Linked DNA regions of Arabidopsis thaliana. The protein of the gene in region 1 interacts with the protein of each later gene in a pairwise test. Each region holds a gene or a part of one and is shown in the gene's direction. Other genes may lie near its edges.

Evidence for each region.
Region 2: the proteins of AT1G51805 (region 1) and AT4G14815 interact in a protein complementation assay, tested with the Arabidopsis thaliana proteins (one large-scale study listed by BioGRID).

The regions. Positions count from the first base shown.
Region 1 is NC_003070.9:19,219,090-19,228,006, reverse strand, and holds AT1G51805 (Leucine-rich repeat protein kinase family protein), read left to right. Parts: upstream 1-2,209; 5' UTR 2,210-2,416; coding exon 2,417-2,489; intron 2,490-2,584; coding exon 2,585-3,110; intron 3,111-3,822; coding exon 3,823-4,301; intron 4,302-4,390; coding exon 4,391-4,535; intron 4,536-4,619; coding exon 4,620-4,691; intron 4,692-4,785; coding exon 4,786-4,857; intron 4,858-4,950; coding exon 4,951-5,022; intron 5,023-5,113; coding exon 5,114-5,289; intron 5,290-5,371; coding exon 5,372-5,619; intron 5,620-5,714; coding exon 5,715-5,841; intron 5,842-5,933; coding exon 5,934-5,999; intron 6,000-6,086; coding exon 6,087-6,276; intron 6,277-6,411; coding exon 6,412-6,820; 3' UTR 6,821-7,771; downstream 7,772-8,917. Other genes in the region: AT1G51810 (Leucine-rich repeat protein kinase family protein), read left to right, coding at 71-136, 236-425, 519-888.
Region 2 is NC_003075.7:8,502,788-8,506,911, forward strand, and holds AT4G14815 (Bifunctional inhibitor/lipid-transfer protein/seed storage 2S albumin superfamily protein), read left to right. Parts: upstream 1-2,255; 5' UTR 2,256-2,334; coding exon 2,335-2,647; intron 2,648-2,731; coding exon 2,732-2,758; intron 2,759-2,842; coding exon 2,843-2,973; 3' UTR 2,974-3,165; downstream 3,166-4,124. Other genes in the region: AT4G14805 (Bifunctional inhibitor/lipid-transfer protein/seed storage 2S albumin superfamily protein), read right to left, coding at 34-412; AT4G14810 (uncharacterized protein), read left to right, coding at 1,358-1,453, 1,558-1,722.

The DNA.
Region 1 (8,917 bases):
TAATTTTGAATATTTGTCTATTGAATGTAAGAATCTAACACACATTAGTTATTTTTTTAACAATACATAGGAAAACGAGGTGGTTCTATATTAAATTGGGGAACAAGGCTAAAGATAGCTCTCGAGGCTGCACAAGGTTCGTATTGATTTCTCAAATACCTAACCTCATCATATTCTTTCTTTGTTTCTTTTGCTTTGACTGACTGAAACTTTGTGAAAATAATATTTTTCATAGGATTAGAGTACTTGCATAATGGATGCAAACCCTTAATGGTTCATAGAGATGTTAAAACCACAAATATATTGTTGAATGAACATTTCGATACCAAACTTGCTGATTTTGGGCTTTCGAGATCATTCCCGATAGAAGGGGAAACTCATGTATCAACTGTTGTTGCTGGAACTATTGGTTACCTCGATCCCGAGTAAGTATTACTTCTTCAATAAGAAAATATATTTTGTAGATATTTTGTCTCCAATGATTACGTAATATTCTTGCACTTTGAACTATTTTATAGATATTACCGAACAAATTGGTTGACGGAGAAAAGTGATGTGTATAGTTTTGGAGTTGTATTATTGGTGATGATTACAAACCAACCCGTGATAGACCAAAACCGCGAAAAGAGACATATAGCAGAATGGGTGGGAGGAATGCTTACGAAAGGAGACATCAAAAGTATTACTGATCCAAATCTCCTTGGAGATTATAATTCTGGTTCTGTTTGGAAAGCTGTTGAACTAGCAATGTCATGTATGAATCCTTCTTCGATGACAAGACCGACAATGTCTCAAGTTGTTTTTGAACTGAAAGAGTGTTTGGCCTCTGAAAGCTCCAGGGAAGTGAGCATGACCTTCGGAACTGAAGTGGCCCCTATGGCTCGGTAGAGGTCCTGATTATATTTCCTATTGTATCGCGTGGATCATTATTTTACCCTATATATCCTTTACAACTATCCTAAATTTTGTGCATCAATTTTATTTTTTGTAAGCAATGAACTTCTAATTACAATAGAAGTTCAAAGTCTTTTTTCCCCCATGTTTCAGTTTATTCCAACTAACCATGAATTAAATAATGGGTGGTGGTGCATGTTTCTTTTACCAAAAATAACCATGAATTAATAACTATAGCATTTGCTTATGACCCTTCAACTTCTAACATGCAGAGTGACCTTTGTATATAAGCAGCGTCACCTAAGAGATCCAGTCACCAGTACGGAAACAGAAGAAATTCCTGACAATAAAAGAAGCAAACTCACCTCCTAGCTTTTCAAATTACAAAATTGATGAAATTTGGTTTATAGATTCTCTTCATTGGGGCAAATCATAGAAATAGTTTGGTCGACATTGGGGCAAAACATGGAATAGAACGGGACAATTTTGGAAATAACAGATTGAGAGCATCAGCAACGGCAACTTCTCAACTTCCGATTCTCAATATATGTGTGAACATAAATATAAGTGTGAACACAAATATTATTAATATTTAATTGGAAAGTATTTTAATTAAACCAATGATTGAATGACAACTGTGAGAAACGTTGTCGATGAGTTTTTCTTGGTTTCTCTAAAGAAAACTTTCCCTTACCTCTCTCCTCCTTTTGACATTTTTTTCTTATTTTATTGGTGAGAGATTTTATGAGAAACTCCCGTTGGAGTTGGTCTGAGTGTCCTTCAAACATTTTTAAAATAAATATCACACATTCACACTATAACTGCTTATTCTACTTTTAAAACCATAAAATGATTGCTCCAAGCCATTGGGAATATAATCAAATATATATACTTAATCCAAAAGGTACATAAAATTTGGTGACAAAAATTTACTTTTTGTTGGAAAAAGAAAGTATCTGAGCAGAATATTGGACGGAGCAAAGAAACAAGAGAAGGATATCAAGTAGCACAACTTGACAAATTGACAAAGGATCAAACAAGATTCATATGTTGTAATAATCTATAGTCAACTAAGGCAACACATTGCTTACAAACTACAAAGTGAAGTCATTGTCATTAATGGTTATCAGATGATTACTTATGTCCACATAATATAGAAAAAAGCATATCCTTGACAATATTGAAGATAAGAAAATTCAAGGAGAATCTAAAGACTGATTGTTCTTTCGAGTTGACTTAGTCAACGGTTTTGTGGTTCCAACTTGTAAGCTGTAATTACGGCTGGGCAAGGTAACGGACCACTCTTGTCATTTTCTCTCAACCAAATCATTTTACACCATCGAAATAATATCCTCATTAAATGTGTTCCCTCAATTATTTGATTCATTAATGTGACACTTATAAGAATTTGACTTAGGACTTTGAGAAATACCTCATATACATAATCATAAACTTATATGCATAGCTTTGCTAACTCAAAAAAAAAAACAGATCCCTTCTTTGCATAGTAAGGAAGATATTAATGGAGAGTCATCGTGTGTTCGTTGCCACTTTTATGCTGATACTTCATCTTGTTCAAGCTCAAGATCAACCCGGTACATACAAAATTGTTGTTTCAATCTATACATATGTGTTCTTCAATGGTTTCTTAGACTATAAGATATATATTTTCCATCTATTATTTCATTAGGATTCATCAATGTGGATTGCGGTTTACTCCCTCGTGATTCTCCTTACAACGCACTCGGAACCGGTTTAGTATATACATCAGATGTCGGTTTAGTTAGCAGTGGGAAAACTGGTAAAATCGCCAAGGAATTCGAAGAGAACAACAGTACACCGAATTTGACATTGAGATACTTTCCAGACGGAGCACGAAACTGCTACAACTTAAACGTGAGCCGTGACACCAACTATATGATCAAGGCTACATTCGTGTATGGAAATTACGATGGTCATAAAGATGAGCCGAACTTCGACCTTTACTTGGGTCCAAATTTATGGGCAACGGTAAGCCGCAGTGAAACTGTTGAGGAGATCATCCATGTGACGAAATCCGATTCGTTACAGGTTTGTCTTGCTAAGACGGGAGATTTTATACCTTTTATTAATATCTTGGAGCTACGACCATTGAAGAAAAATGTGTACGTTACAGAAAGTGGCTCACTCAAGCTCTTATTTAGGAAGTATTTTAGTGACTCAGGTCAAACGATAAGGTAATACTTGTTTGTTAAAAATTCTATTGTAAATTTAAATTTACCATTATATTTATAGTTTACTAGATTATATCCCACATGATACGTAGATAATATATACAATATTTAGATTCTAAATTGCTAACCCGTATAAATAGGTTTTAAACTAAAAACCTCTTTTAGTTATCTGTAAATTATGTTTTATAATTCGTGATTATTAAAATTCAAAAACTACCCATATTACCCTTAAATAATCCCTTTAGGTGAATAAATATATATTTTTGAATATTATTTTCTGAATTTAGTTGTTCTAACATGCTGCAACAAAAAAAAGAAAAAGAGAAAAAAAGAAAAAAAATCTAACGATTGAGAAATGTTTTGTTTTAATGTAATAAGTCAGATTTAAAGTTATACCCTGAATTTTTGTCATGTAAGAATTCTAAAGCACACGATAACAAACTCTTATTTTCTAATTTTCTATATTATGAGTCTTATGTAAATTTTATAGTTTACATATTTTCAATTTCTAGGTTCTATATTTTTATATTGTACCTTACTTTTTCGATTTGATTAGTTTTCATTTTTTCAAATCACAATTTCCTTTCAATTTGTTTTGCTGTTCTGTCTATTTAAAATTAAAAAACTAATAATAATTAGAAATACTATATTATTACATTGACAGTAAACATAACTTTTTATTTGTGTAATGTGGTCTAACATTTACTTGTGGCAGGTATCCAGATGATATCTATGACCGTGTATGGCATGCATCCTTCCTGGAAAATAATTGGGCACAAGTATCGACGACTTTGGGTGTAAACGTTACTGATAATTATGATTTATCACAAGATGTAATGGCAACGGGCGCAACACCTCTAAACGATAGTGAGACATTGAACATTACATGGAACGTAGAGCCTCCTACTACAAAGGTTTACTCCTACATGCACTTTGCAGAGCTTGAGACACTAAGGGCCAACGATACAAGGGAATTCAATGTGATGCTGAATGGAAATGACTTGTTTGGACCTTACAGTCCAATACCGCTAAAGACCGAAACAGAAACCAACTTAAAACCAGAGGAATGCGAAGATGGGGCATGTATTTTGCAGCTTGTGAAGACGTCAAAATCAACTCTTCCGCCTTTACTTAATGCTATAGAGGCTTTCACCGTGATTGATTTCCTACAAGTGGAGACAGATGAAGATGACGGTATGTCAATTTGACATTCTTGATCTTATTTCAAAATGTTTAGCGTGTTGTGTGTTGATTCTTGATATCATCAAGCTTTACAATCGTAGCTGCTGCTATCAAGAATGTTCAAAATGCTTATGGATTGATTAATAGAAGCAGTTGGCAAGGAGATCCATGTGTCCCCAAACAGTATTCGTGGGACGGTCTAAAGTGCAGTTACTCAGATAGTACTCCACCAATAATTAATTTCTTGTAAGATGAATCATTCAATAGATTTTCTTGATTTTTTTAATCATGTCAATTTTGAACTAGATATCTCACAGTTTCTTTCTCCAGAGACTTATCTGCAAGTGGACTAACCGGGATCATCGCGCCTGCCATTCAAAATCTTACTCACCTAGAAATATTGTAAGTCTATCTCAACTGCTGACCAAGCCAAAATTTTTGTAACCATTGGAAACAGATAATGTTTAATGAGTTATTTCACTTTTGTTAATGGAAGGGCCTTGTCAAATAACAATTTGACCGGAGAAGTACCTGAATTTCTAGCTGACTTAAAATCAATCATGGTCATGTAAGTTTTTCATGAGACACTACAATATATTCTACTCTTGACATTCTCCTGAACATGTTTGTTTATCCTTTAACTATTTTTCTACTTCAATAGAGACTTAAGAGGCAATAACCTCAGTGGCCCGGTTCCTGCCTCACTTCTTCAGAAGAAAGGATTGATGCTACAGTAAGCTATATTTTTGTTACTTTCAACCTGTTATATATATATCAGGGAAATTGATGTATTTTGTTTCTTTAACAACACTCACATTCTGCAGTCTTGATGACAATCCCCATATTCTTTGCACAACTGGTTCATGTATGCACAAAGGAGAAGGCGAAAAAAAGAGTATCATTGTACCAGTGGTTGCATCAATTGTTTCATTGGCTGTTATTATAGGTGCACTCATTCTGTTCCTTGTTTTCCGAAAGAAAAAGGCATCAAAAGTTGAAGGTATCAATAAATAAACTCAAGATTAATATTAGAGCATACATGCACATCAAACATAACAAGATTTTGCCTTATATAACCTTAGGGACACTACCATCTTACATGCAAGCATCAGATGGTAGATCGCCGAGATCCTCTGAACCAGCAATAGTGACGAAAAACAAAAGGTTTACTTACTCACAAGTTGTGATAATGACAAATAACTTCCAAAGAATCCTTGGGAAAGGAGGGTTTGGAATCGTTTATCATGGCTTTGTGAACGGTGTTGAACAAGTAGCTGTTAAGATACTCTCTCATTCATCATCTCAAGGGTATAAACAATTCAAAGCTGAGGTAAATTCTAACTTTCATCACTGTCTCGAATGAAAACATCAATGATTCAACTATCTTTAAAAGCTTAAACATATGCATTTTGGCATGGTATTTAGGTAGAACTTCTTCTTAGAGTTCATCACAAGAATTTGGTTGGTCTTGTTGGGTATTGCGACGAAGGAGAGAACATGGCTCTTATCTATGAATACATGGCCAATGGAGATTTAAAAGAACATATGTCAGGTAAGCAAACAAACATGACCTAACCATATATTGCTGTAGATTTATCGTGATAGCATCAGACATTGATATCTTTCTCTCCTTTTAAAACATAGGAACAAGAAACCGATTTATTTTAAATTGGGAAACTAGACTAAAAATAGTCATTGACTCTGCGCAAGGTTGGTTTACCTAGTATCCCTATTATTTCTCTTATATATGTTTTTTTGCTTTTCATTTGATTGAATTTTATGGATTTTGTTGCATAGGGCTTGAGTATTTGCATAATGGATGCAAACCACTAATGGTACACAGGGACGTCAAAACTACAAATATATTGTTAAATGAACACTTTGAAGCCAAACTTGCTGATTTTGGGCTTTCAAGGTCTTTTCCGATTGGAGGTGAAACTCATGTGTCAACAGTTGTTGCTGGAACTCCTGGATATCTCGATCCTGAGTAAGTATTATTATTATTATTTTTTTATTATATATTGTATTATTTTGGTAAAAGAGAGTAAGTAATATAGTTTAAAAGAATTTTGTTTTATTGGAAAGGTAAATTGATAAAATTCTATGCTCCTAAATTCTCCAGATATTACAAAACAAATCGGTTGACAGAGAAGAGTGATGTATATAGTTTTGGGATTGTATTGTTGGAGATGATCACAAATCGGCCAGTGATAGACCAAAGCCGTGAAAAGCCATATATTTCAGAATGGGTGGGGATAATGCTTACGAAAGGAGACATCATTAGCATTATGGATCCAAGTCTAAATGGAGACTATGATTCTGGTTCTGTGTGGAAAGCTGTTGAACTAGCAATGTCTTGTCTGAATCCTTCTTCAACAAGAAGACCTACCATGTCTCAAGTTCTTATTGCATTAAACGAATGTTTGGTATCTGAAAATTCAAGGGGAGGAGCGAGTAGGGACATGGACTCAAAGAGTTCCCTAGAGGTAAGCTTGACATTTGATACTGATGTGAGCCCAATGGCTAGGTAGATTACATGAAATATTATCATGCGGTATCACATAAATTTGTTTATATGTTTTTATTTACAGAACTATCCTCAAATTAGTATCTCTCTTATAGGCCACCTTTGTTAATGAACTCTGAACTTTTTGTCATTGATACATGTGTGAATAACAGTCCAAAGTCTATTATTGTTCCGCCGTAATGTATCAGTTTCAAATCAGTGCATTTTTTGTTTGGAGAATTTAGATTTACTCTTGTTCTTGATTACTATTGGAACACCTCCACTTCGGAAGCTCCTACGTTGGAATGAAATCACCCATTTCTATGTAATATAGTCTCCACCATTTTTACCATAGGGATAATCTATCATCATTTGACGATTTATCCTTTTCTTTGATTTCACACCATTTAAACAAACTCTAATGCGGATTATTTATCTATATATTTGGCTCGAGTTAAATTTTCAGATTTTTATTGGTAATTTTCTCTCTCTTTTGATTGAATCACCAATAGTAAATCTTGATATTTCAATTTAATGTTGTAGTTAACAGAAATAATTGTGTGATTCTAAGACTTTCACGTACTTAGTTAGAAAAGCAAAAAACTAGAATCAGTGGAGAACCTTGGAATTATGACAAAATTGAAGGAGATGTACTAGAAATAGACAAATGTAACTTTTGTTATAAATACTCGTAAGCTTTGTTCATGTTTATTAAACTTTTAAAACATCAACAGTTTTTCCATTGAAAATGAGAAGTAAACCCAATCCTCTCTGGGCCACCATTATCACTATCTTCACCATCCTTGTTATAGGTTTGTAATTGTAGTTACATTTACAACTATTTAAATGTTTTTTGAACAGCGTTTAAATAATTTATTTATTATCATTCGAATCTAAATTAATTGTCGAAAACATGTTATTTTTCTCTATATAAACAAATTCAATTATCTTATGTTAATTTTTTTTTTATCTAAAACGACGGAACTCTTTTTTTTTGTCATCCGATATTAATTAGAGGTCAAAATTCCTGAGAAATATTGTTTATATTGATATGATGTAGTTTGACACAAACTTTTTGTGTCAAATTATCTGTTTTAATATTTGCACTAAGTGAAATAAAAGATAAATAAAAACTTTTGAATTCCTCTTTGTCACTCTGTAATTCCTCCAAATAGGCTGAGAATGTTGGTCATCTGGTTGGGGAAGACACTATCTTCACCAGATCTAAACAGTCTGTTAGAAAAACTGCTTCTTAATTGTTATCGGTAATCATACACTTTATCGCCCAGAGAAAAGCTTGCACTTCTGAATGTAGTAGAGATAGACTTTTTCTGGGATTGCCAGCTCCCATTGTGGCGTCTCTCCATTTAATGATGTACAATATCATCATGTTCCACAGAACTTCTCTTTCTTTCCATGATCCATCCATATAGCATCGATTTCTTGAATAATTGATATCGTTTGAGATATTCCTCACTCGATTCCAAGTTTCTAAATTTGAAAACCATGATTTTTATTATAAAACTCATTTTGAGCTAACTGCCACGATTGTGCCATAAAATGCTTTTCACATTCAACTTATGATGCATCTATTTGGCATCCCCTATTATCGAATATATATATATGGTGATCGAGAACATACTTTAACGGGCTTTTCAATACCAATTTTTTGGTAGCGTCCACCAAGTAAAACTCAAGAGAGTAATAATTGATGTTAAACTAATTTCTATATTTTTTAGAACATTTAATGAAAAGTCCCTCATGGGCTGATTAAACCCTTCAAGTATCAATCTATGCAATTTAAACCCTTGCACTAAATTTTTTTGGTAAGGAAACCCTTGCACTAAATCATTAGTGAAAAAGCCTTTGTTCAACTAAAGACCCATTACAAAAATAAGCCTTTGTTTGTATTATTGTCGAAATACTTCCATTGAATCAATACTTACATTTTGGTTTTTTAAAAGCTGACGATTATAGTTTTCACAAAAATAAGAGAGAATGATGTTTGGTTAAAATACATCATAAATATGATTGAAAATCTCAAACGATCATGTCAATGTAACTATGATATCACTTCATAGGCTGCATAAAACGACTGTTACCAAATCCATCTACAGTCTTA
Region 2 (4,124 bases), on another chromosome or scaffold:
CGATTCAATTACATAGGAGGATTCGAAATTAACCTGATACCGAACAGAGAGATTCGAAAGATTCTTCGGAATTCTGATCGGTACAGATCTGAGAAAGAGAAATCAATCTAGATCTATCCAACGGGAATCCAAGGATCATCGGCTGCCGGAGAAGATAACAGAGACAGTTTCCGGTGCTAGAATGAACGGAGGAGGTAAAAACCGAGCAGCAAATAGGATCCGGAGTCTCTGACATATTGTTTGGTGGAGAGGAGACGTAAGGAAGGCAAGGAGAGAACATGACGAGCTCCTCCGTACAAGTCAGAACCGGTGGAGAAGACGAAGGTGCTTGCTGCGTCGCGGTTACGGCGGAGGAGGAGGAGAAGGTGATCGTGAGTATGAGGATGAAAACGCCGGTGATTTTGGTCGCCATTTTTGTTGCTTCAGAGATCTCTCGTCTTCGTGATTAGAGTTAGTTACAGAGATTTCACACTTATGGCTGATTCGTAGCGATAACTGAGATTGTATGACGATGGTGGCGGGAAATAAACAGTTGTGGAGGTTTGATAACGAAGTTACTAATTTGCCCCTATATTGATATTTTCGGGTGATGCTGAGTTGGTAGTGACTGGCCACTAAGGTCCGTCCACGTGGGTGAAGATTAGTTTCGTTTGGGCTTTTAGATTGAATATCAAAGCCCACAGTTTATGTTTTTGACATTTTATAGTTTAGTTGACTTTGAAATTTTATACTTCTGTTTTTTAAAGAGGATAAATAAAAATCTAATGGTTACGGCGGTTGAGGCGAACAAAACCTTCAACAGATCATACCGCTTTTTATTTACCATTCATCAATTATAGTCCGCAGTAGTTCGGACCAAAAAAAAAGAAAAACCGCAGCAAACCGTTTTTATATACAAATAAATTTGGTACGCACCGATTTATTGTCCGCCCAAAAATAAAATGGATTAAACTGCAGAAAAATTAGACCTTTTTGTCCGCCGCATCCATTCAAAGTTTAAGTGGGAAAGTTAATTACTTATTTAGTTGATATTCGTTTGGACGAGGGCTCCCGAACACATCGTAAGCTAAATCGGTGCTGACGAATAACCAGCCCACAACAAATAGGAAATGTATGGAATAGTAATACTATGAATGACCCAATATAGAATACTGGTAATAATATCATCAAAAGAACGTTCTCATGTGCTTCCAAACATACTGAACTCAATATAAATTTAGAGAATCAATATAAATTTAGAGAACATAACAAACATAGACAATTAAAAAAAAGAAAAAACGAACAAACATAGACTTGTGAAACCGTTATAATTATCCATGGAACTGTTGATGCTTGTGAAACTGTAAAATCCACCAAAATGCCAGATATTCACGAAGAAACCTGCTCAACAGCTGCTAGAAAAAGGATAGTGATTGTGATTTATCCGTCCATAACGATCCATGGAGCTGTTGATGTTTGTGAAACGATAAAATCACAATTTCCTCGTAGCTGTTATGCAGATATCTTCGTGAAATATCTGATATCTTGAAGAATTTTTCTTGAAGGCTCTTTGCTTAGTTTGAATATTCGTTGACCGTGGACTCGGTGGTTCGAGTTAAGTTTCGTCAGAAGATGTTTTTTCTTGTCGTGGTTTTGTTTTTCGGTGGTCGTGAAGATCGTGAAGTGTTGGCTAATAATGGTTTACGTATGGTGGAGCATATCGGAATCTCAGTTTCTGAATAAGAACGCAAACTTTACCATATTTATATTGCAAAAGTTGGTCATGCTCTTTATCAAATAGAGAAGTTAGATCATGCAGATTAAGCCACATCCTGACATCCTTCTTTTTGTTTTTTTTTTTTATGCGACATATATCAGTTTCTATTTATTTACGAACTCCCAAAAAGACTCCAACACAAATTAAACCAATAAACTCAAACAACCATATTAAAATGAACAATTCACAAGTAAGTGTTTGGTGTTGCTTATAATTTTAATGGTTTCTACAAATTTATCTACGTATCTTATTTTTTTTCTTGTTTTTTTCATTGAAAAGGTCAGCAATCAAATTTCAATCAGGTGAAACTCAAAAACTTTATATAATCACAAAAAATAATTCAACAAACATATCCTTAAACCAAACGTAATCATATTCTTTCACAAACTTCACCATAAGGTGTTGCAAAAGTTGGTCATGCAAATTGAGCCACATCCTTATTTTCGTCTTTTTCTGCGGCCTCAACTTCTTATTTATTTACGTAACCACAAAAGAAAAGACTCCAACACAAACCATTAAGCGATCAAACAACTAAATTAAAAAAAAATCTTGAGAGATTCTTGGAACACAAGAAAAACATGAAACCTAGAATGTGTTTAATCTTGTTTATTGCTTTAATGAGAGTAATGTCGATTGTTTCTGCTCAGTCGAGTTGCACAAATGTTCTAATCAGCATGGCGCCGTGTCTCAGCTTCATCACTCAAAACACTTCTCTCCCGTCTCAACAATGTTGTAACCAGTTGGCTCATGTTGTCCGGTATTCTTCTGAGTGTTTGTGTCAGGTTCTCGATGGTGGAGGTTCTCAGCTTGGGATCAATGTTAATGAGACACAAGCTCTTGCTTTGCCTAAAGCTTGTCATGTTGAAACTCCTCCTGCTAGTCGCTGCCATAGTAAAATAAACTCACTTTCCATGCATTAGATTCATATTTTTGCTATCTTTTTTCTCTCACACATCAGAACTTTATTATTTTCAGGTGGTTCTTCGGTTAATTCACATTCAGGTAAAGGACTAACTTATAAATAGAACCTAATCTAATCATATCTATTTTGACATTATCCTTTTTTGACATTATCTCTATGAACAGAACATGGAAATGGATCAAAAACAGTCCCAAGAGAAAAGTCATCATCTGATGGTTCTATTAAGTTCTCATTCCCTCTTCTCGCCATCCTATTCACAGCTTCTTACATTACATTAATCTACGCAAAATACTGACTTATTTTACCAATAAAGCTTTTGGCCTCTTTGAAGAACATATTCATTTTTAGTCTCTATTAAATCGCGGTGTATTGTGCTGAAGTATTTTGTGCTCTAAATCCCTACTTTCTAGGTGATATTGGTTTGTAGTCCAAAGAGTGTGATTGTATATCTTTGATTTATGCAATAAACATTATTTTCTAGCTAGGACATATTTGAAATACATGATATATATATGTATTGTTATCACTAACATATGTCTAAACATCACTTAAAATTTAGAGGGAGTACTATTGTTATCACTAACACATGTATTGTAGAAGGAGTACGATTGCTATCACAAACACATGTATTGTTGCCATTTTAGTCACAGTTTCTAAATATGAGCTTTGTCTGTTACCCTAAATGTTATTGCTCAATGTTCACCATAAACTTTTGCGCAGAGTGTCGCGTCTCTATCCACTTTTTCTTTTGCCGGTAATTTTACGAAGGGAATTATCGCCTTTCTCAAAAATTTCTCTATTTTTAAGTTGCATACTTGTAAATCGTTTTGGTATTTCTCTTTTAATATTCCAGAACATATGTTGTGAAAGCTATAGACAAACATTTATATGCTGGCTGAAATCTGGAAGACAGTTTCTAGCAAGAGTCAAACAAATGTCTAGAGAAGTCAAAGCAACAATGATAATGGAAATTAACTAACACCTACTTTTCTTAATCAAACTAGTGATTCACTAATTTAAATGTGAGATTGACAGAAAAATTCTGCAAACTTTATTAAATTTAGTGATTCTTATAGACTTGTTTAGAAGACAAGTCATCAGTTTTTTTATAGAATGTAGTATTGTTTTGTGATAATGAATTTGTAGTTTTTGTTCGCAAGTTATACTAAATATTAATTGATATGTGCATGAAATGAAGGTCAAATAATGGTAGAAGGGGACCCTTGAACAAGACCACCTTTGTCTCCATTTCCACAAATCACAACCTCATGTCCCTTTAGAACATGGAGCCAATTATTGCAACTCCTTGCCCTCCCATAGTTTTGTTTAAATATGTCAAATCTTTATTTTCATATACAAAAATCATTGGTATCCTGCAATAAATATTTTCATCAACGTGGACTTAACACATCTAAAAACATATCATATCAAAAGTCACAACCCTAC